Linked DNA regions of Rattus norvegicus. The protein of the gene in region 3 interacts with the protein of the main gene of each other region in a pairwise test. Links are inferred from orthologs where the notes say so. Each region holds a gene or a part of one and is shown on either strand. Other genes may lie near its edges. The genes, in order: Rad51ap1, Upp2, Siah1, Atn1 and Tmem43.

Region 1 (4,367 bases), on a different chromosome or scaffold from region 3:
CTGCCAAACCACTTTTTCCTCAAGCTGTGGACACAGTGCAAAACAGACTTCTCTGAACTGAGAACTGCTAAAGTATTTGACTTAAAGGAGAATTTGGTGGTCTGGGAAGAGCATGTGTGAGGCCCTGGGTCTGATCCCCAGTAAACACTCTCCTCCCCAACGCACAACCCCAAAATACATAGCAACACACACACACATGCAGAAGAAAATTATCTTACTACAAGTGCACTGTAATCTAATGAAATGTTTCTCTAACTTTGATCAAAGTTCTGACAACAAAGACAAATATATGATCAATACAATGACAAAGCTTAAACCTAAGCTTTCAGGGTAAATTTTTCCATATCTGACTCCAAAGAAATACATTTCTCAATGTATTAAAGAAAAGTAAAAGGCTCTACTTACCATCAGAGTCATTGCCAGAATCCTCAAACTGTGAATAATTGACTGGTTTTTTATTTCTATGATCAAGACAGAAATTTTTCATTACTGTACATATTAATATTTTACCTTCACCTTAAAGTTTTTAATAGTCTTGAAGAAAGGAAAATGTGTTTGGAGTCTCTCAAAAGTACTTCAATCCAAAGCCAAGTACTTGGCATTAACGGAAACACCAAACCCATACCTAATACACATAATGAGAAGAGAAATTAATTCAGGAAACTCCCAAAGTAAAGAGAAAACAACTATTATCAATTAAGCTTTGTATTGTTTAGTGGCAACTGGGTATTTATAAACTGTGTGCCCTTCTTTGCTTACACTATAAAGTACCTGTTCAGTTTTAACCACATTTTAAAAATTCAGTTAGAGCAGAGCTGAGACTCCATGATTAAGAGCATGCACTGTTCTTTCAGAGGACATGAATCTGGTTCTCAACACCCATGCCAGGCAGCCCACAACTCCTGTAACTCCAGCTCCAGGAGGACTAAGAACCCTCTGACTTCCTCAGACATTGCACGCACATGAAACACCCACACAGACACCTAAAAACTCAAACCAAAGCCAAACAAAAAAACTTTAAAATAAATCCCCCTACAATACCAAATAATGCTTTCTTAATGGAATGCACACTTTACAGTAGTCTGTTCCCAGCATCTTTGTGGGAACTAAGAGGGCAGAGGAAAAGGATGCTCAATGTAGAAAGGTTCATCTCCTTCCTCTGGGAAAGCAATGTAAGGCTGCCCTGTCTTCCCCATGTGTACAAGTTCGTTCATCAGTTGCCGTTCTTTCAGGCAAAAATAGGAGTTCTGTGAAAAAGTGGCTTGTCCACCATTCAGCTCATGATCCAGACTTGTGTTTCCTTGAGAGAACGCACATCAAAAGGAAAGGTGTTCATGTTCTCTCCCACACGTCAGAGTGTAAGAATTTGACAGCTACATAAACTATGAAAGCATCTTTAGGAATTGTGGGATTGAAAAATAGTAAATAGAACCAAAAGCCTACTAAAAAAATAATATACTTGGGTTGAGTTGTAACAGACATGGATTCTTATTGATTCATTAAACACAAATTACCTACTGTATGTATTTTAGAGACTCACTGGAGTGAGATATGCAGGAAACCATTACTTTTTAAAAGCTCTTTTAAAATATGTGGATATGAAGGTGTCTGCGTGTGGGTATATGCACATGAGTACTGGGTCCCCCTGAGCTGGAAGAGTTGTAAAGTGTCTGAAGTGGTTAGGAACGGGACTTGGGACCTCTGGAAGAGCACCAACCACTCTTTTAACTATCGAGCCAGCCCATGAATGCTTCTGTTTTTAAAACAAAACAAAACATCTGAGTAGGTGGCAGTAGAAACTGCAAGGACTAACCAGCACAGTTCGACGTCACTGCCTCAATTTTTGTTAAGGTTCCAATAGTCCTATCATCATTGTAGTGTAAATGATAGAAGAGTGAAGACAGGTGGTTTGTAAACAAAGTACAACCAAAGTGAGCCGAAGTGGCTAAAGTCAACTGCTGTGCAACCTTAAACCCAACTCTGACTCCTGGATCCATGAGAAGGTGCAAGGAGAGAAAGGACCCCAAAGTGAGGCTTTTCTCCTTCCTCCTATGTTCCATTGTGGTGTTTATTTTGTTACCCCGCCCCCCATCTTCCAATAGGGTAAGCTCCAGCTCTTAATACAGTACAGGCCTAGGTGAATTCACTAAGTTAATTTGTTTGGTTTTGCAGGACTAGGGATTGAACCTGGGACCTCTCATCTGCTAGGCAATCAATCCACCACTGGGCCAGTCTCTGCAATATTCAGTCAGTCTACTAAATGGATAGCATCCCAGTTGTGATCACGGAGAGAGGATTCCAACTGTCTAAGGGAAAGCAGAAAAGGACTGGAGTCATGTGACAAGGCACCACGGCTTGAGCTGGATGTTCAGTTAAATGGGTCGCTCTTCTTAGGGATTTGAGGGGCTCAATATAGGCACGACTGCCTTTTCTGTATCGCTGGGCTGTTGTAGTGTTCAACATATGAAGGCCACATACATGGTCACTAGCGGCCACGTAAAGCGCGGTTCAAATGCCAACCTGCCGTGTCTCTCTGGGGTCGGGAGAGTCAGCGGGCAACAGCTGCAAAAGGAAGCCGAGAGGCGGAAAGCAGGATGCTAGGCGGGCCACTCTGAGCAGCGGGTGGCTCTCACCAGAGACTGGCGACAAGCACACAACCCCGCTGTCCTCTGTCCGACCCTGTCCTCTCCCTAAGCCATGTATGACAGTGGCCCCCAGCGTCCCCCGTTCTTCCTCCCTGCCCCGCGGGACGTCATCGACTACTCACCTGGTAGGGCGCACCATGGTGCCCTTCCTAGGACAGCAGCGACCTGGAGCTGGAGAGCAGCTGTGGCGGTTTCAATTCCCGCCCAAAACCAGACGTCGGGCTCCACGCCCCGGTACGCCAGCCCACCAATCATCGCTCTCCTGCCTAAGGCGGCGCCTGCGTACTGAGGAAAGAGCGCCTGCGCGCACACACCTTTGCCAGGGCACGGCATTCTGGATCCTGCCGCCCAGACCCAGAGTTTGTTTTGCTACTGCACTTTCGTCACAACAGCGATGTGGTACCAACTCTAAAATGCAATATAAAAGTAGGAACACGCCTCCAATATTTAGAATGATCAACTTAAAGATGACTGGAATAAAGGAGCTCTTGGATAGAGTTTTCTTGGCGCTTGAGAAAAAAAGAAACAGACGGGTACCGAATCTGCCGAAGCGAATCTGCTAACTGTACAAAACAAGCTAGAAGTCAGCTGACTTATTGGGCAGTTCTGCGTTGACAGCTCTAAGTGTGCCTTGGTGTTTGAGTGAAGAGGTGAGTTCGATCCCATAGCGAAGAAACCCCTTCAGTATGGAGGACCTAATGACGGTACCTGCTACAGGCTTAAAGAACAGAAGCAAGCTTTATGGGGGCTATCTAAAGTGCTGGAGTGCAGTTTGCCATTGACAGTTCAGTATTTGTGGAGAACTAGACTTGGAGTTTTGCATGCTGCTCTGGCAGGGTGTAGATAGGCACACCCAGAGAATCTGGAGATGTAAACTGGGTTAAGATGAATTTTATCCTGAAATCAGCAGACTGCACAAGCAAAGAGTAACATGAAAACGTGATTTTGTTCTGTTACATGTACACAGTGTATTCCGATTACTGTCTCGTTCACCTCATATCGCACCCGTCCCTACTAACTTCCCCATCCCTACTAGTCTCCGCATCTCCACCAGTATCCTTTCCAGATTCATGGCGTTGTTTTTGTTTGTTTTTGTGACCCAATATCTTATCCAGAGCAGATGTGTGAGCATTGCAACTACTCGTTGGAGCCTGGTGGGGGCACCCGTGAACACACATCTGAAAAAACTTATCTTTCCTGAATCTGCCCATAGAAAACAGTTCCTTATTGGCACATGGGTCCTTCTGAGTCTTTCTCTCGCCTCCCTTTGCTGTTGATGGGCCCAATCTTATGCAGACATCTGACACTGCAGTGAGTTTATGATTGTAATGGCAGTATCTTGTCAGAAGATGGCATTGTTTTCTTCTCTATGTTCTGGTTCCTATATTTTTCCACTTCCTTTTCTGCTGTGTTCCTTGAGCCTTCAAAGGGGTGGTATAAATGTCTCATTTAGGGCCGAGTCCCTATCTACCACTTGTTCTCAGCACCTTGTGTCACCTGGAGACTCTCCACTCACTACTGTTCCCTGGAAAGAAACAGTTCTCTGATTAAGGCTGAGAATAGTGCTTGTCTGTGGGTAAACATAAATATTTAGGTGGTTTGACCTTGTTCATTTAACTGAACAACAGTATTTACATTTCTCCTTAGGGCCCATCATCTTCCCTACTATGGGTTTCTGACAGGGATTATAGTGCCAGGTAGGGATATGCTCCAATGGAGCTG
Region 2 (3,708 bases), on a different chromosome or scaffold from region 3:
GAGAGCAGAACGCATCACAAGACCTCAGTGCAAATGCGCTTGCTGCTTTTCGGCAAGTTTATTTGTGTTAAATTTTAACAATCCTGAGAATTGGCCTCTATGAGTAGCTCAAGGCTCCTAAAGCCTTGATAAAAGAGGAAAGGAAATGGCTAGGAAGGGGACCATGTTGATCAGTTAGGAATAGAAAGAGAGATGAGCTTTGAAGACTTTTGCCCTTTCCTAATAGTTAAGTAGTGAGTATAAAGGCAGGTAGTGACCCTGCATGCTCTGCCCTGTCCCAAAAACCTTTTCCCAGTTGTATTAACTTCTTCACTTGCGTTCCTTGTGTAAGAGGACACAGCAGCATGGAGAGAGAACTGTGTTCAGATGGTCCCAGTTTGGTGTGCATCCCACAAAGTCTAGCTGGCCTGCAGCCGTCCCCTACTTACACTGAGGGAGAGCACAGGGCCTGTTTTGAACATGCAGTATCTGTCTGTCCCCGCACAGATGTCCTCGATGTCGTCTCCATCTCCCTCCAACCCGAGTTCCTTGTGCATAAACAGTGCAAACGCTTTCATTCTGTTCGAGCTCCCACCAACGCAGACAAACTGTCAACAAAAATGAACGGGTGCCTACCGTCATCACTAGGATAAGAGCAAGGGGCAACATCCGGTTCTAACGTTTTTGTTTTTGCAGCGCATTTAATTTACTTCTGAGTGTGCGTAGATATCTTTGATTGTGTTCAAAATTTGGCTCATTTACGTCATTAACCTGAAAAGAGGCAACTAGTTGAAATGCATTATGTACTAAATTAGTGAAGAAAATCATGTAAATGTTCACATTGTTCAAGGAGGTGTTTCCTGGTGGTGTGGTAGCATCAGCCGGCATCTTCATGGCTATAATCATCCTAGTGGGGAGCACTCACGTGACACGTTTAGTGTCAAGTGCTAAGGATGTAGATTGTAAGCACTTGCCAGTTTTACTGTTTTCTGTGTATCCACCCTAATCGGGATCCTTTATTTTAAAATTTACTATGATACCCTCAACCTTTATAGGAAGCATCTCAAGACTTTCCTTCACTGAGAAAAAAATCATAATGGAACACGGCTTGTTACTGTAAGCTCAGAACTTGACTGCAGTTGGTCATCCATCCCACTAATTTGCTTTTGTATTTATCTTGTTCTCTGACTTTAGGGTAGATGTTGCAGTCAAAGGTTGTCATGCCTAATAAAATGTGTTGATAATCAGCAGTTAGGCATGGTAACGCATACCTACAGCCAGAGTTCTAAGACAGGAGGATTATGAGTTTGACAGCAGCCTGGACTGCATAGTGCTTTTGATGCCAGACCAGACTATATAGTGAGACCCTATCTCAAGAAGAAAATTATAATTAGTTGTGTCACAATCTGTTAGTGATACGTCAACCCCAAGGATGGAAGAATATGCCAGAGAGAAAGGAAAGGAGTGTCCTGTTGGTGGCCTCCATGAGTAGGCATCCAGGTGGGTACCAAGCAGGATTAGCAACAGAGAGAGGGGTCTGAAGGCCAAGAGGAAGCAGAGCACACAGAAGGTTGTCAGGCAGAAATCTACTCTGAAACAAAAGCCGTGTGGTATGGTGCAAATGTGGTGTGGTGTGTCATAAGAGAGGGAGCATGTGTGGTGTGATATATACAGTATGGTGTATGTGATATGGTCTATATGGTATGATGTAAGAGATGTGGTATATGTGGTATAGTATATGTGATATGCTATATACGGTGCAGTATTATGGCATGGTATATGTGATACAGTATGTTGATGTGGTATATGTGGTGTGGTATATATGGTGCAGTATTATGGTATGCTATATGTGATACAGTATTTTGATGTGCTATATGTGGTATGGTATATATAATGTGGTATATGTGATATGGTATATATGGTGTAGTATATGTGGCATGCTATATGTGATACAGTATGTTGATGTGGTATATGTGGTATGGTATATGTAACGCGGTATATATGATGTCGTATACATGGTGTAGTATATGTGGTATGCTATATGTGATACAGTATGTTGATTTGCCATATGTGGTATGGTATATGTAATGTGGTATATGTGATATGGTATATATGGTGTAGTATATATGGTATGCTATATGCGATACAGTATTTTGATGTGCTATATGTGGTATGGTATATGTAATGTGGTATATGTGATGTGGTATATATGGTGTAGTATAAGTGGTATTCTATATGTGATACAGCATTTTAATGTGGTATATGTGATGTGGTATATGTAATGTGGTATATGTGGTGTGGTATATATGGCGTGGCGTATAGAGTGAAGTACAGAAAGCAAAAGCCAAGGAATGCTGGACAGCTGCCATTTGAGTGTAGGCACACTTGGCTTTGAGCACTAGCTCACCACTGATTAAGTCACTTGCTCAGCAACACACGAAACCTTTATATTCCTCAGATCATCATCTCTGGCACTCTCAAGTTTAATCAGGATGAAGTAGGACTGAATTTAACAAAGGACCAGGCATGGATCCTGGAACCTTCTCAGTGTCCACATCTGTGGACTTCTACCTTTCATATCAGATAACACTGCTCTGGCCTGCATTTTGAGCCCACATCTCTGGTGCAGAATTCAGTTAAAAATGAAGCCAACTTAAGTTTTCTTGGGGGGAAAAAGACACTTAGTGGTGCCTGGCTGATGTGGGCAGTTTTGGGCAGAAGAGCCAAGGAAGGCTAGCAAGGGCCTTCGCAGGGGCTGTCTGAAGAAATTCCTGAGGTTGTTGAGTGGGTGTCCTTCATGTAAGAGATCAACAGAAGTATTGGGTGGTCTGATCTCATGATGCATCCTGTTTCCACTTAACAGTAATTTCTGGGCAGCGTACAGTAACTTTCAATCACAGGACGTAATTACTCTTTTTTGTCTGGGCATTGCTTCTCATCTGCCCTCTCTGCTGCCTTCTCTGGAATTCTCTAGGAGGTTTTTCGATGGGGCCTTAAGGTAGTAATGAAGCCAGCCTTAAAGGCTAGAGACAAGACAGCAAGGCAGGCCATGTTTAAGGTAAGCCTCGAATACTATTGATTATTCATGGACTTTGCTCCTTTCTTGTTATGAGTAGTTAAGCACTTTCTTGCTGTGCGTAGGTCAAGGTCTAAGTACAAGAAGGCCCCTTTTAATATACAAAATACAGGAGATTGAAAATAACCTCACAGTGTGGTGCCAGTACATCTAAATTATAATCATTTGCATTGACCATAAAACCAAAACAGATGTTAGAATAGTTTGCAGTTTGTGTTCTGCTTTGAACTGTAGATATTACAGTAATCAGGCAGAATGTCTGCAGATTTCTGGAGACATGCATAGACAGAAGCAAGCTTAGCTCCTGACACCTACTCCCAGATTCACTAAGCATCGCCTGTAGACACCATGACCAGCCTGGCTGCTTTAATAAGAAATAACACACAGCTGAAGACCACCGGCCAACATTGGTCACCAGTGGCACTGACTGTGATTTATGTTCCAAACAAAATGATCTTTGTCCAGGATTTATCAAAAAAGGTAGAAATGCATTGGGCAGGAATAAAGCATTATAAAAATATTTTCAGGCTTTTGCCTAACGACTTCCAGAACAAACTCACCTTCAAACATCCCCAGTAGCTTAAAAGGTTTTGCCATATGGCATTAATTTACAACACAGAGTTTATGCATTTTGTATATTAAGGACTATAAAC
Region 3 (3,708 bases):
GGGCCCAAGGTCAGACAGATGGTTAAGTTGGGTGGAGGTAAACTGGTGCCTAGAAACTTGAAAATCAGACTGCAGAGTCAGTACCACACCACTGGAGCTAGGAAAGGATAAAATAACTCACCTTTTTTCACAAAGGAAAAGAATAATCAGCATTAATTAGTCATATTCCCAATGTCCTAATGGAATGAAAGTGGGAGGGAGAGCTGTCCAGTCTTTTCTGTGATTTAAAATAAAACATACTTCAAACAGTGGCATACAATCCTCTGCTCTAAAATACAGACCGGAACAGGAAACTACCTTTGGAGTTTATCCATCTTAGGGCCACAGGGTGAGGGTGTAGCTCAGGGTAGAGCATCTGCCAAGTGCTAGGCCCTACATTCAGTCCTCAGCTCCAGGGAAACAAAAAACAAAAACAAAAACCTAGAGCTAAAGTAAACACATTAAAATGTTTTTTAATTTGCCAGATAATCTTTTAATGAGAATTATAAAAGACCAAAAACATTTTTTTGCAAACTGCCTTTTTTTAAAAACAAATGATTTACTTTAATTACAAATACTGTGTATGATGATGCACTCTTTTGCAAAACCAATAAATACAAGAACCAATTTAAACATGTGATTTGCCCAAGACATTTGAAGAGAGGAAAAGCCTGATTATTTTATAATTTATAGTGATCAGAGTTTACTCCCTAAGCTAACCTTTCAGAGAGTAAGCCTGACCTGACGGCGTAGGACAGCAGTCGGGAGGCGAGACCATCCTGTACTTGCTTCAGCCTCGACGAGCTGCTCTGCTCCCTTTCCTTTCTGGAATTCCTATTTCCACAGAAGGGCTGAATTAAAAATGTCTAATAAATTGATTGAAGGAAAAGAAAGTATGTACTGAACACAAACTTCTGACATTAAGCAATTATGGATATCAAAAAGACGCTAACTTAAAAGGTACAAAAGTGAGAAAAACCTGAATTACAGAAAAGAAAGTCAAATTTATTTAATGAAAAACTAGAATAAAAATTAGCAAATACACACACACCAAAAAACAAAACAAAAAACAAAACAAAAAACAACCCCACAGCAGCACTGTGTGTTGACTCACAAGGGGAAAGCGGTGGCCCATGACCACGCAGATGGCTTGTCAGTTAAAGGAAAACCAACCACACACGTGCACGCATGCGTGCACAGACACACACCCCCAAAAAATTGTCAACAATACAATCAATCTACAACAAACACAAAGTTCAGAAATATTTTACAATGTTTCCTTTCTTAATACAAAAGATGCCCATCTTGGGTATATATATTTTTCAGTGGTTTACTGTTGAATTATTTTTAAATATATTAGTGTTACTACATGCAACTGTTTCCTGTATTAACAGCTTTTCTTTTTATTTACCTTCATGTCTAGCTTCTACCTACCAGGAGAGGTTTAGGTTGGCAAGCAGATGGGTGCCTTATTCTCTGTGAAGTCAAATGCAAATTTTAAACACTGGCCAGAAATATTTGATTGCCGTTTCAACACATGGAAATAGTTACATTGATGCCTAAATTGCCATTTTCTGCAAAGAGCTGTGCAATGCTGGTGTCAAACACTAGGCAGTCACTATTCATGATGGCTGTTGCAATTCCCTCATGAATAGACCGAGGGGTGGCTTCCCAAGTCAATCGCCGCCTATGACCATTCAGCTCAAGTCGATATGCAAAATTTTCAGCTTGCTTGCGTGTTCCTATCAGCTGTACAATCGCAAAGAACTGCTGATGGCCATCGTATTTTTCTTGTTTCTCCAAGACTAACATGAAATGAAAGCCAAAACAAGACTGCATCATCACCCAGTCAACAGCACCAGGAAGGTTAATGTCTGTAGCAAGGAAAACTATATCTTCTCCTTGCAGGGTGGTAATGGACTTGTGCTGATGCATCAGGTGGGGCATGACAGCATCCAAGGAGCCTTGCCACTTACAGGAAGCACCAGGGCAGGGGCAGGAGTAAGGCCTGAACTCACAGAGCTCCTCGTGCTCTGCCTTTTCGGTGTGCGGCAGAGTTATCTCACATCCAGAAGAGGCATATTTACAAGGGAAGAGTACGGAGTTGGCCACTTTCTCCATAGCCAAGTTGCGAATGGATCCCAACGGGCCCCGGCAGGTGGGACAACATGTAAGTTTGGGGCGACAGTTGCTACAAACAAGATGGCCACTCTGACACTGAAGAATAGGTGGCAATACATAGTCAAAGCAGACAGGACACTCGAAAAGACTCGCCAAGTCATTGTTGGATGCAGTTGTGCCAGTCAAGGCAGGTACCCTCTGGGATGGTGGACACTTTGAGGTGCCGGTGGGTAATGCTGTAGCAGTCTGACGGCTCATCTCTGTAAAGGAAAACAAGAAAATAAAAGGAAGCAGGGGGAAAGTTACAAATATAACACATTAGTAGATATGTATGTATACATGTCATAAATACTTGTAAAGCATACCACAAAATTTATCGTGAATAAAAGAATAAAATTAAGTAAATATAGTTTTAAATCCATATACAAATAAAATAAAAATTGAACGCTAAAGGTTAATTTTCTGGAGTTATATAATGAGTAAACTGTATTTCCAAAATGTTCTCCAGCATGTTTAAAATACTTTTTTGTTCTTAAAGCAGTGGAAATCTCTGGGTGGACTACACAGAATAAGAATCGCACCAGGCATTGTGGCCACACCTTTAACCCTTGCACTGCAGACACACATACAGGTGGGGATCAGGGAGTTCGAGGTCAGCCTGGTCTGCATACATAGTTTCAGGCCAAGCAGGACTACATATGAAGACCTAATTTCAAAAAAGTTCCTAAACAATAAAGAACTACAAAACTGTCTTTGTCTTAAGAACTTAAATACAGCTGGGCAAGATGGCACAAGCCTTTAACTCCCAACATTTAGGAGGCAGAAGAAAAGGAAAGAAGGAAGAAGAAAAAAAAGGAAGGAGGAAGGAGGAGGAGGAAAGGATGAGGAAGAGGAGGAAGAGGAGGAAGAGGAGGGGAAGAGGAGGAATATAAATTAAATACAGGGCTGGAGACTGGAGAGATGGCCTAGCAGTTAAAAACACTGGTTGGTCTTCCGGAGGACCAGTGTTCAAATCCCACCACCCAAATGGCTGCTCATTAGAGGCAGCCAGGGCACTCAAACATATTATGAGCAGATAGACATGCAGGCAAAGCACCCATTCACATAAAATAAAAACAAATCTTTTTTAAAAGAAGAAAACCTTAAATTACAATATAAACTTTATTTGGGCTGGACTTTTTTCCCGAGTCTCCACCTCCATCTATTTTTTCTCAAGTCTGAGTTTGCTCATAGCTTCAGGACCTACTGCTTTAGTCCTATGAAGTTCATATGCCAAAGACCATTAGAGCCGGGTCAACTCTTCCCAGCATGAACAGCATCATCACTAGAACTGTGCTCTGGGAATGGGCTCAGAGGTCACAGGGGAAGGAAACCCTGCCATCCTGTTATCTGCCTGCAGACGTCTACTCAGTCTTTTATTAAGGCAGCCAGGTATCACTTCTGTCTCCCATCAGTCAGTGCGTTCATCTGAAGACTGAAGGAATATAAGAAGTGGAGAAAACCACAGAAGATCAAACGCTGGGTGGGGCTGAACAAAGAGCTCCCTGAACCTGTGGGTTCCCTCTTGTGGCTACAGCTTTCACTGTAACTAACCACAAGACTTCTGAG
Region 4 (4,136 bases), on a different chromosome or scaffold from region 3:
TGTCTCTAGCTCTTCTCTTTTCCTATCACTGACTGTCCCACCACGATACCACGCAGACCCTATTTATCTTGTGTTTCCTTCCAGGCCTAATTAATTCTCCTCCACTGTATTTGCCAAAGGAAATAGTTCTTAGTTGGATTGGAAGTCCCCACCTTCAGGTTTTATCAACCCATCCCAAACCCTAGAACGGGCATATGTCCCACCCACCCCCCACCGACCCCGCGGCCGCTCTCCCCCACCCCCACTTCTGAGACCTCTCATGCCTTCCTTCTCTCCCACAGAAGTATCTCTGGACTTTCCTCCAGCCTCCCTTCATCATTCCCAAATTCTTGTGGTTTGCATTCTTTTTAACACCAATCGCCGTCTTAAACTCTTATCTCTTCCAGAAACGCCATTCTCTTAGGGTGTCTTCTTCATCCTTTCCCGCCCAGGTCCACAAACTTCCATCGTAGTCTCTCGGAAATAGCTCTTAAACCCCTCCAGCCTCAGCTTCCTGCCCTTCCTCTCCATCTGTCCAATACAGCCCCATTATCCAAATCTCTACTTCAGTATTCCCCCAAACTCCACCTACTTCACCCCTGCCACCGCTCCTCTTGTCCCCAAACTTCTCCAGCCTCCCCAGGTCTGCCTTCGGAGTCCACAGCCCCTCCCACCCAGCCCTCTCCCGCGCGGGGCCCGCGAGCTCCCCACGCTCTGCGCCGCGAGGCCCTCTCTCTCCGCGCCCCGGCCGGCTTCGGCCAACTCGCCCGGCGCCTCCCCTTCCCCGATCCTCCGCCCCCCGACTGCCGCGCGCTCCCTCCCTCGCGTCTCCTCCGGGCCCCTCTCTCTCCTCCGTTCCTCCGCGCTCCCTCCTTCTCCCTCTTCCTCCCTGCTCCCATCCCCCTCTCCCGAGCGCCCTCCCTCCGCCGTCCGCTTTCCTGTGCGAGTCGCCGGACGCGCGGCCCAGCCCGTCCGTCCGCCCGCAGCCCCGCGCCGGCCGGGGCCTCGGGCCAGGACGTGTTTTGGGGTGGCAGGACTCGGGGCGGGCTAGGGGCGCGCAGCACGAGCGGCGGGAGGGTCGGGGGTCGCGGACCTCGCCGGGGCCGCGAGTGCGGGCGGAGGCGGGCGGCGCGGCGGGGGCGGGCGGCGCGTTCCGGGCGGGAGGGCGGGCGAGGAGCACGAGAAGCCGATCGGGGCTGCGCGGGGAGCCGGGCATGGGGGCCGCCCTCCGGGGGGGCCGGGGCCGCCGCCGCCGCCGCCGCGGCAGCGACTGAAGCCGCGCAACAAGGAGGGGCGGGGAGTGGTCGCCGCCGTCCCCGGGAGGCGCCGGAGCTCGACTGCACTCGCTGCCAGCCAGCCGTCCCGAGCCGCTCGCAGGTAAGGTCCGCCGCCGCCGGCCCGGGCCGCCCCGTTCCGGCTCGCGGCTCCCCGCCCCCACCCTCCCGGTCCCCCCTCCCGCCGCCGCCTCCATTTGTTATTTTCCCGGTCGCGTTCCCTTATTGCGGGCACGACCGGGCCCGAGGCTGGGGACTCAGGGGGTGGGGCCGCCCGGAGGAGGGACGCGGGCCCGGGAGTCGCGAGCTCGGGAGGTGGGGGGGAGGAGGGTCTTGGTAGGAGGGCTGACGGGGCAGAGCGTCGCCAGGACCAGAGCCTAAAGGGGAGGAACGCCGAGGTGGAGACTTGGCGGAGGTAAACCGGGGGATGCTGTGCGGGTGGTTCGCGGAGAAGGCAGGACGGATCGGAGAGATGGCAGCGAGGTGGGGCGTGCAGGCTCCAGTAGCCCCACAGGCCCAGAATCCGTGTTCCAGAACCCAGGGTTGCGGGTTTTAGGAACAGGGAAGTGGGAACAGGGAAAGGGGTGTGGTAGGTGGTAAAAGGAGAATTGTGGTAGCCGAGAGGGGGGAATTGAACCTGGGGGGGAATGGAGATGAACCAGGAGAGGCCCATCTTTTTGAAGACGGACGTTTTCTGGGGGTGGAAATGGGAAGGCCGTATCTTTTGTGACTCAGTTTTCTTTTACCCCACTCCCGGTCACCTCTGACCCTGTTTTGCTAATCCCAGACCTAGTTACTTCGTGAAGGGGGCCACTGAGGCTTAGTAGTGTGAGTCCTCCTAACACTAATAAGAAAGGCAGCAATTCTGAAGGAGGAATTAGAAAGGTTGGGAGGATGGGAAAGAAGAGAGGATTGGGCAATCATATAGGCATTCCAAGGAATTGTGACCTCCGCCCTCACCCCCAAGCGTTGGATGCCCCGTAGCTGGGCTCTATCTAGGAGGTCTTCCTTACTGCTTTGATCTCAAAGATCTCCCTTTGTGCCTGGGGCGGGTTACTCTAAAGCTCCCTTCCCTGAGGGTACCGTGAGAAGGTCGGAGTTGCTTTGGCAACTAAGGTGGTAATAGTGGCAGCCAGATGGACCCCTGGGATGGTCTCTTGGGGGGCCCTTTTTTTTATCCATTTAGTTGTCATGGCAGTGAGCCAGTGGGGAGTCCAATAGGTGGGGATTCAGTATGTAGATTGGGCCTCAGTCAGCCTATAGCTTTGTCCTTGGTGGGCGGTAGATCTCTGGTAGGTATTTCTGGTGTTGCCCCAAGTAGGGGTCTCCTGAGGAGGTGCACCCCTTCTCCTCCAGAAGTCTTTTGGAACAAGTAACCCTGTTGCTTGCAGGTCATTCTTGCCAGTCTCTACCTGGGTATGGTGGAAAGATGAAAATATTGTTGTTCAGACTATGTGGTCTTGGGCTGGGGGGTGTAGCTCAGTAGTGTTATTTCTTAGCATGCATACATAGGCCCCGGATTTGAGCTCCAGAACCAAAAACAAAATAAAAAAACCAAGTTATACCCCCGTGGGCAATTTCTGTCGGTCTCTACCACTCTTACTGTCTTATAAACAGTTGATTCTTTGAACTGTTTTATTTTCTTGAATTCCTCTTTGGATCTCTCTTCTCCTGTCATTTCTCAGGGTGACCCTTTCATTCAAATGCCCTTTGGCCTTTATTCTGGACTTACAGAAATGGCATGGTTCTTCATGCCTGTCTGGGTGAGGGTGGCCCAGGGGAGGGCTGTGAAACAGCCTAGAGCAGAGCCGGATGCTCTGGAGACCCAGGTGTACTTCTCCATGTTCCTCTATGACCTTGGGCAAGTCACTTCTCTCATCTTTGAGCTTCACCTTCATTGTATGATGAAATGACCCCTGGCTCCTTCAACAGACCTGGGTTCTAACAGGACTTAGGGAGCTACGTTGTTATCTGCTGGTCTGTGCCTCGTGGATGTCTTGGTCACTTTCCTCTGACTGTTAATCTGGCAAATCTAGAATTATGAGGGGTGGTCGGTGACCCTGAAACACACCCTTTATGCTCTTCCCAGGGAATCTGTGACGTGGTCACTTTCTGACATTCCTGTCATATTTGCAGACTTGTTCCTTACTTTCTTTTTTTTTTTTTTAATTTAATTATATTTATTTGTGTGTGTGCTGTGGTGCACATTCGGAGGTCAGAGGGTAACTTGAGTTCGTTTTCTTCTTCCGCCATGTGGGCCCCATGGTCCAACTCAGGTCATTCATTTCAGTAGCGATCTCTGGTTTTTGTTTGGTTTTGAGATGGACTTATATCCAGAACGGGCCTTGAACTCACTGCCTAAGGAAATGACCTTGAAATTGCCCCTACCTCTGCAGTCCTGAGATTGCAGGCAAGAACCACACCCTGTTTTATAAGGTGCTGGGGATGTAACCCAGGGCTTCTGGAACTCTCGTCCCGGGTCTCTGTTCCACACCCGTTTTCTCTGCCTACTCATGAACTCTTTTCTGATTTCTCATTTCCCTGCCTTCCTGGTTTTGGCCTTCCTTGTTTTCCTTTTGTGAGGAGGGAATGAGGAAAATGTGTGTGGCTGTCCTCGGTAGATGCTTCTAAATGTTAAAGGCAGCCTTTAGGTAAGATGGAGCGCCATTTGGCCAGTTAGTTTTACAGCCCCACGGTACCTGTGTTCAGACTTAACCTATGCTCTGGCCCCAGCCTCAGTCCCATCCCTTCCTCTGCCCATCTTTATCCCAGGAACTTCCGCCCCACTGAACACTGTTTTTCTATCAGATTTCAGCTGATTAAAAAAGGTAAGAAAGGCTCAGTGACTGCCCTGTTCTCCAAGGAACTTTGTTGTATTTTTTG
Region 5 (4,184 bases), on a different chromosome or scaffold from region 3:
TGAAAACCCAATGCTTGGGGTGGTGGCTCCATGCTGGGGCCTCATAGGCACCTGTGGGAGTTGTGGCTAATAGGAACATTATCAGATTTCTCCACAATTGAAACTGGAGCTGCCACCCAGACTGTGGGTGTGGATGGAAGTCACAGAGATACAAAGTGGTCACCTGGCAGGCACCTCAGAGAGCCAGGCCCCTTCCTGCCCAGGATCAGAGGATGGATTTGAGACAGAATCCTTGAGCAGAGCTAATGCTACTTCTGGCGGCTGTCCACTGCTGGCTCAGGCCTGCTGAGGACACCCACGGTATCCAGAACAATACCATATAAAACTCAGTGGAGACAACCACTGCAGACAAGAAGGCAGCCATAAGCCAGCAGATGCCCAAAATGACATACTCATTTGTTACAGGCCAATCATGGGCTGGCTCAAGGGTAAAGAGGCTACCACTACCCATTTCACAGAAGAAGAAATCGAGACCCACTGTTTAGGTTATCAGCCTGGTTCAACACCTTGTAAGTAGTAAGTGGGTGTGCAATGCAGGGAGGGCCCTCTACCCTAGACTGTCTTCTTCATCGATTAGCGCAATTCAGGCTGAACAACGGAAAAGGAGACGTGTATCCCTGCTGGCTCCCCTTAAGGCCAGGAAGGAAGGGAAACCAGGAAGACGTCCCTCCAGCTGGGAGAGAGGTGAGGTGGGAAATAGCACCTGTGTGTATATGTGTGTGTATATGTATACACACTTATGTATCCACAGTAACGTGTTCCACTTCCAGCACACCGGGCTCAGAATCAACAAGCAATGAAGCAATGGGTGGGAACACACTGGGCCTGGAAATTGGCACACCAGGATTGGAGTCCCAGCTGTTGCTATATGAGCCTGGCAACATGTGCTCCGCCTTTCTGGTTCTGGTTCCTCACTTGCTGGTGACAACACCTACCTGACAGGAAAGTTGTTATACTGAATTCAGGGGCTTTTGTTCCACTCACTGTCTTAAGATTCCCTTGCTTACCCTGCCTGGTGACTCAGCTACTGCGTGGATGCTCTGGTACCGTCCCTAGGCACGGCAGAGCCACTGTCATATTGAAATCGGAATAGCTTAGATTGCCCAAATGAAGCCCTCACATTATGCGGCACGTTCCCTGGAAGAGTAGAAGAGGATCTTTATAACCTTGCCTGGGATTCTGGCTTCTCACTTCCCTCTGTGTCCCACCCCCAGCAGTGTGCAGAGGATACAGGAGGCAGAGGGCTAGTGGAAGGGAGGGCACACACCTCCATCTAGGCAGCCTTCCAGAGGCAGTCACCCATGCCGGCGTGGGACTCTGGTAATACCCACGCTCCTGTGAGTAAGCCCAAGATGGTTCACCAAGATGGAGTTGGTGCAATGGCTCCTTTGGTCTATGATTATCCTGACTGACATGGATGAATGTTCATGTCTTCCCGGGAAAGTCACGTAACAATGGATGGACAAAGGCACGCTTACTGAAGATATCCATTGTGTCTGTTTGTTGGTGTGAGAGTCAGACCCAAGATGGCTTCTGCCCACCAGGGCTGTGTGTACTAGCCTCTAAGTGTGACTTTTTCAAGGATTAAGCACCTCCCATGTACCAGGCTCTGTGCCCAGCAACCTCCCTCAAATTTCACAGTAACTGATCCCATGAGGGTAAACCCAGAGGCTTGTTAAGAGTGGAAGAATCTGGATTTGCCTCCAAAGCCTGCCCTCATCTGCACCTTCCCAGGCTGATGATATAGCAAGCCAAACTGTCTAAAAGCCCCCAAGCAGGTGTCTTCTGCTGGGGAACTGTAAAATTTGACGTTGAACATATGGATCCGAAGGGGTCCGCCCACTCTTGCCCGGCTGGCCTGCTGGTTGCCTTCTCCTCTGGTTCCAGTGCAGCATTCCTAACCTTTGGTTCTCCTCCCCTTCTAGGGCCGGACAATGTGCCAAGCAGATATTGCTTGGACAGTGGGTGAAACAAACTCTGATCTCCCAGGAGGTGTAGGAGGCCAAGAAGTTTGAGGACAGAGGAGGGGCCTGGGAAGAGGGTGTAACAGGCCCAAGGATGGCTGCAATGACACTCTACCAAGGAGGGAGAGAGGGTGTGACTGGGGCTGGCAGTGCTCCTGAGCTGGTTCCAGAGGCGCTTTCACCAGAGGCATTTATGAGTCACCAGCTTCTTCCACACCCAGTCCCCTAGTAGGTGGTGTTGCTCCGTTTGTTGAATGAATGTTAGGATTCACTAGGAAAGTTAAGGACTAGTTGCAGTAGGAAATGGCCAGAGGTCTGGGGCAACTATCTTCAGTCAGGGTCTCTACCCAAATCAGTGCACCAGGAACCGAGCAGTAGAGAAAAGCCTCCCTTTCTAGGTCATCCAGCCAGGCTTGTCCTGCTACATCACAGCCTAGGAGCACACACCCCCTAGGGAGCGGAGACCAAAGCAGCCTTTGTTGGACAGCTCCACCTGGGCAGGAGCACCTTAATCTGCTCACCGACAGACACTTTTCTCGTGGTCCTTCAGTTCCACAAGTTTTATATCCCCAGGGGCCCAGAAAGAAACTAGGAGTGGAAGAAGCAGCCGTGCACGAGCGGATTCGACTAAGAGCTGAGTCCCACAAACGTGCAGCCCGAGATAGACGAGTTCAGGGAGCTGAGGGCAGCCGCACCCACTGGGGTCGCAAGGCCGAAGGACCCAGCGCAAACCTAGGGGAAAAACGACCCAGATAATGGTGTAACCCGGGGATCAGGAAGCACTCACGTTCGCTGCCATGGTGGGCCTGGTTCGCTGCCGCCGTCTTGCTTTGTTCCTCTAGGAATTGGGATGACGACCGGAACGCAGAATACGGTGTCCTGTCTGCCACAGAGCTGCAAGACTCCTCGAGGAATCCAGGACCTGGCGGGACTCGGGATAAGAGTTACGGCCCCGCCTACGTCTCAAGTTGTCTGCGCATGCGCGTCTCAAGGATTGCTGGGAAATGTAGTCGGACGTCGGACGCTTTCACCACAAAATTACAAAACACAATATTTCACTGGTGCGCGTGCGCGCTGCAAGATTTCTGGGAAATGTAGTATAGCTTTAGTTGGCGGGCGCAAAGGCTGCTGGTCAATGTATTTTCGACTGAGAAGCGGTGCTGGCGCTTAGGACGAGCGGAGGCAGGCGCGCGGCGGGCAGGCCTGGAGGGGGCGGGTCCGTGTGGGCCTCAGTGCCACCCGCCAGGCCTGAGAAGAGGCGAGGGAGGTCACAACGAGAAGGTGTAGCCGCTGTAGCCGCGCCTGCTCCCTCTGCGAGCTGGGAACGTTGAGAACAACCATGTCCTACTGCCGGCAGGAAGGTGAGTCGGGCGCTGCCATGGAGACCGGCCGGCGCGGGCCTGCGAGAGACACGCGGTCTAGTGGTTTCCATCGAGCGGCTGCGGGCCCTTTAGTGGGCCTCACGCGGCGGTTTCCAAATGAGAAAGGCAGAGGCTCAGTGAGGAACGAGGCTGGTCCAAGGTCAAGGTGAAGCCCGAACTCGGGCCTCGGAGGCCCTCACGTGGGCCCTGCTAGTGTGGAGTATGTTGTATCTGGCTGGAAATCGGGGACTGTTAGGAATCAGCCCCCGTCGCTCCTCGCACTCACCACATGTTTCTCTCCCGCTTAGGCTTTTTAAATATCCCGGAAAATTACCACTTGGGCTTGAGTGGGTGTGCTGAAGTGCCACTAGCAGGAGCACTTATTGAGCTCCTCCTGTTTACTAGGCACTCTTTTAAATTTCACGTAGCGGTCTTTATATATCGGGTTCTTTTACTATCCACATTTTTATCAAACGGTAAATTAGGACAGGTTACTCGATCCAAGAGCCCACATCAGGTCATGAAACTGGAGCCCTATACGAAAGGACTTGCTTTCTTCCGTCATTTCTAGCCACGTTGAGGATCACTCACTTCCTCTACCTATTACCCATAGACAGGAGCCCAGAAGAATCCAGACCAGTCTGCTCTAAGGCCTCCCAGCACTAACTGGCTCCTTATATTTGAGCTGCCAAACCCTCCAGGCCCTAGTTTCCACTCTTGTAAATTGAGAGACCAGGCATCATTTACTCTGGTATTCATGAAGCACGTGCCCAAGGCAGGAAAGAGTTGGGAGGACTCTTGAGAATACAAAGCTACAGAAAGACGTAGTTCACCCAGAATTCTAAGCTCCTTTACTCTT

Evidence for each region.
Region 1: the proteins of Siah1 (region 3) and Rad51ap1 interact in binary tests that used the Homo sapiens proteins (3 or more experiments, as listed by UniProt). The two-hybrid records come from large-scale screens. The link is inferred for Rattus norvegicus from reciprocal best matches to the Homo sapiens genes SIAH1 and RAD51AP1.
Region 2: the proteins of Siah1 (region 3) and Upp2 interact in binary tests that used the Homo sapiens proteins (3 or more experiments, as listed by UniProt). The two-hybrid records come from large-scale screens. The link is inferred for Rattus norvegicus from reciprocal best matches to the Homo sapiens genes SIAH1 and UPP2.
Region 4: the proteins of Siah1 (region 3) and Atn1 interact in a two-hybrid assay, tested with the Homo sapiens proteins (2 studies listed by BioGRID and IntAct). The link is inferred for Rattus norvegicus from reciprocal best matches to the Homo sapiens genes SIAH1 and ATN1.
Region 5: the proteins of Siah1 (region 3) and Tmem43 interact in binary tests that used the Homo sapiens proteins (3 or more experiments, as listed by UniProt). The two-hybrid records come from large-scale screens. The link is inferred for Rattus norvegicus from reciprocal best matches to the Homo sapiens genes SIAH1 and TMEM43.

What each region holds. Positions count from the first base shown.
Region 1 is NC_086022.1:161,455,709-161,460,075, forward strand, and holds the start of Rad51ap1 (RAD51-associated protein 1), read right to left. Parts: upstream 2,852-4,367; 5' UTR 2,785-2,851; coding exon 2,768-2,784; intron 462-2,767; coding exon 406-461; intron 1-405. UniProt on the Homo sapiens protein: Structure-specific DNA-binding protein involved in DNA repair by promoting RAD51-mediated homologous recombination.
Region 2 is NC_086021.1:63,695,241-63,698,948, reverse strand, and holds part of Upp2 (uridine phosphorylase 2), read right to left. Parts: intron 588-3,708; coding exon 429-587; intron 1-428. UniProt on the Homo sapiens protein: Catalyzes the reversible phosphorylytic cleavage of uridine to uracil and ribose-1-phosphate which can then be utilized as carbon and energy sources or in the rescue of pyrimidine bases for nucleotide synthesis.
Region 3 is NC_086037.1:36,572,514-36,576,221, reverse strand, and holds the end of Siah1 (E3 ubiquitin-protein ligase SIAH1), read right to left. Parts: intron 2,361-3,708; 5' UTR 2,359-2,360; coding exon 1,510-2,358; 3' UTR 449-1,509; downstream 1-448. UniProt on the Homo sapiens protein: E3 ubiquitin-protein ligase that mediates ubiquitination and subsequent proteasomal degradation of target proteins.
Region 4 is NC_086022.1:159,251,464-159,255,599, reverse strand, and holds the start of Atn1 (atrophin-1), read left to right. Parts: upstream 1-1,221; 5' UTR 1,222-1,356; intron 1,357-1,519; exon of another isoform or gene 1,520-1,668; intron 1,669-4,136. UniProt on the Homo sapiens protein: Transcriptional corepressor. Recruits NR2E1 to repress transcription. Promotes vascular smooth cell (VSMC) migration and orientation. Corepressor of MTG8 transcriptional repression.
Region 5 is NC_086022.1:125,533,508-125,537,691, reverse strand, and holds the start of Tmem43 (transmembrane protein 43), read right to left. Parts: upstream 2,849-4,184; 5' UTR 2,764-2,848; coding exon 2,752-2,763; intron 1-2,751. Other genes in the region: Chchd4 (mitochondrial intermembrane space import and assembly protein 40), read left to right, coding at 3,304-3,325. UniProt on the Homo sapiens protein: May have an important role in maintaining nuclear envelope structure by organizing protein complexes at the inner nuclear membrane. Required for retaining emerin at the inner nuclear membrane.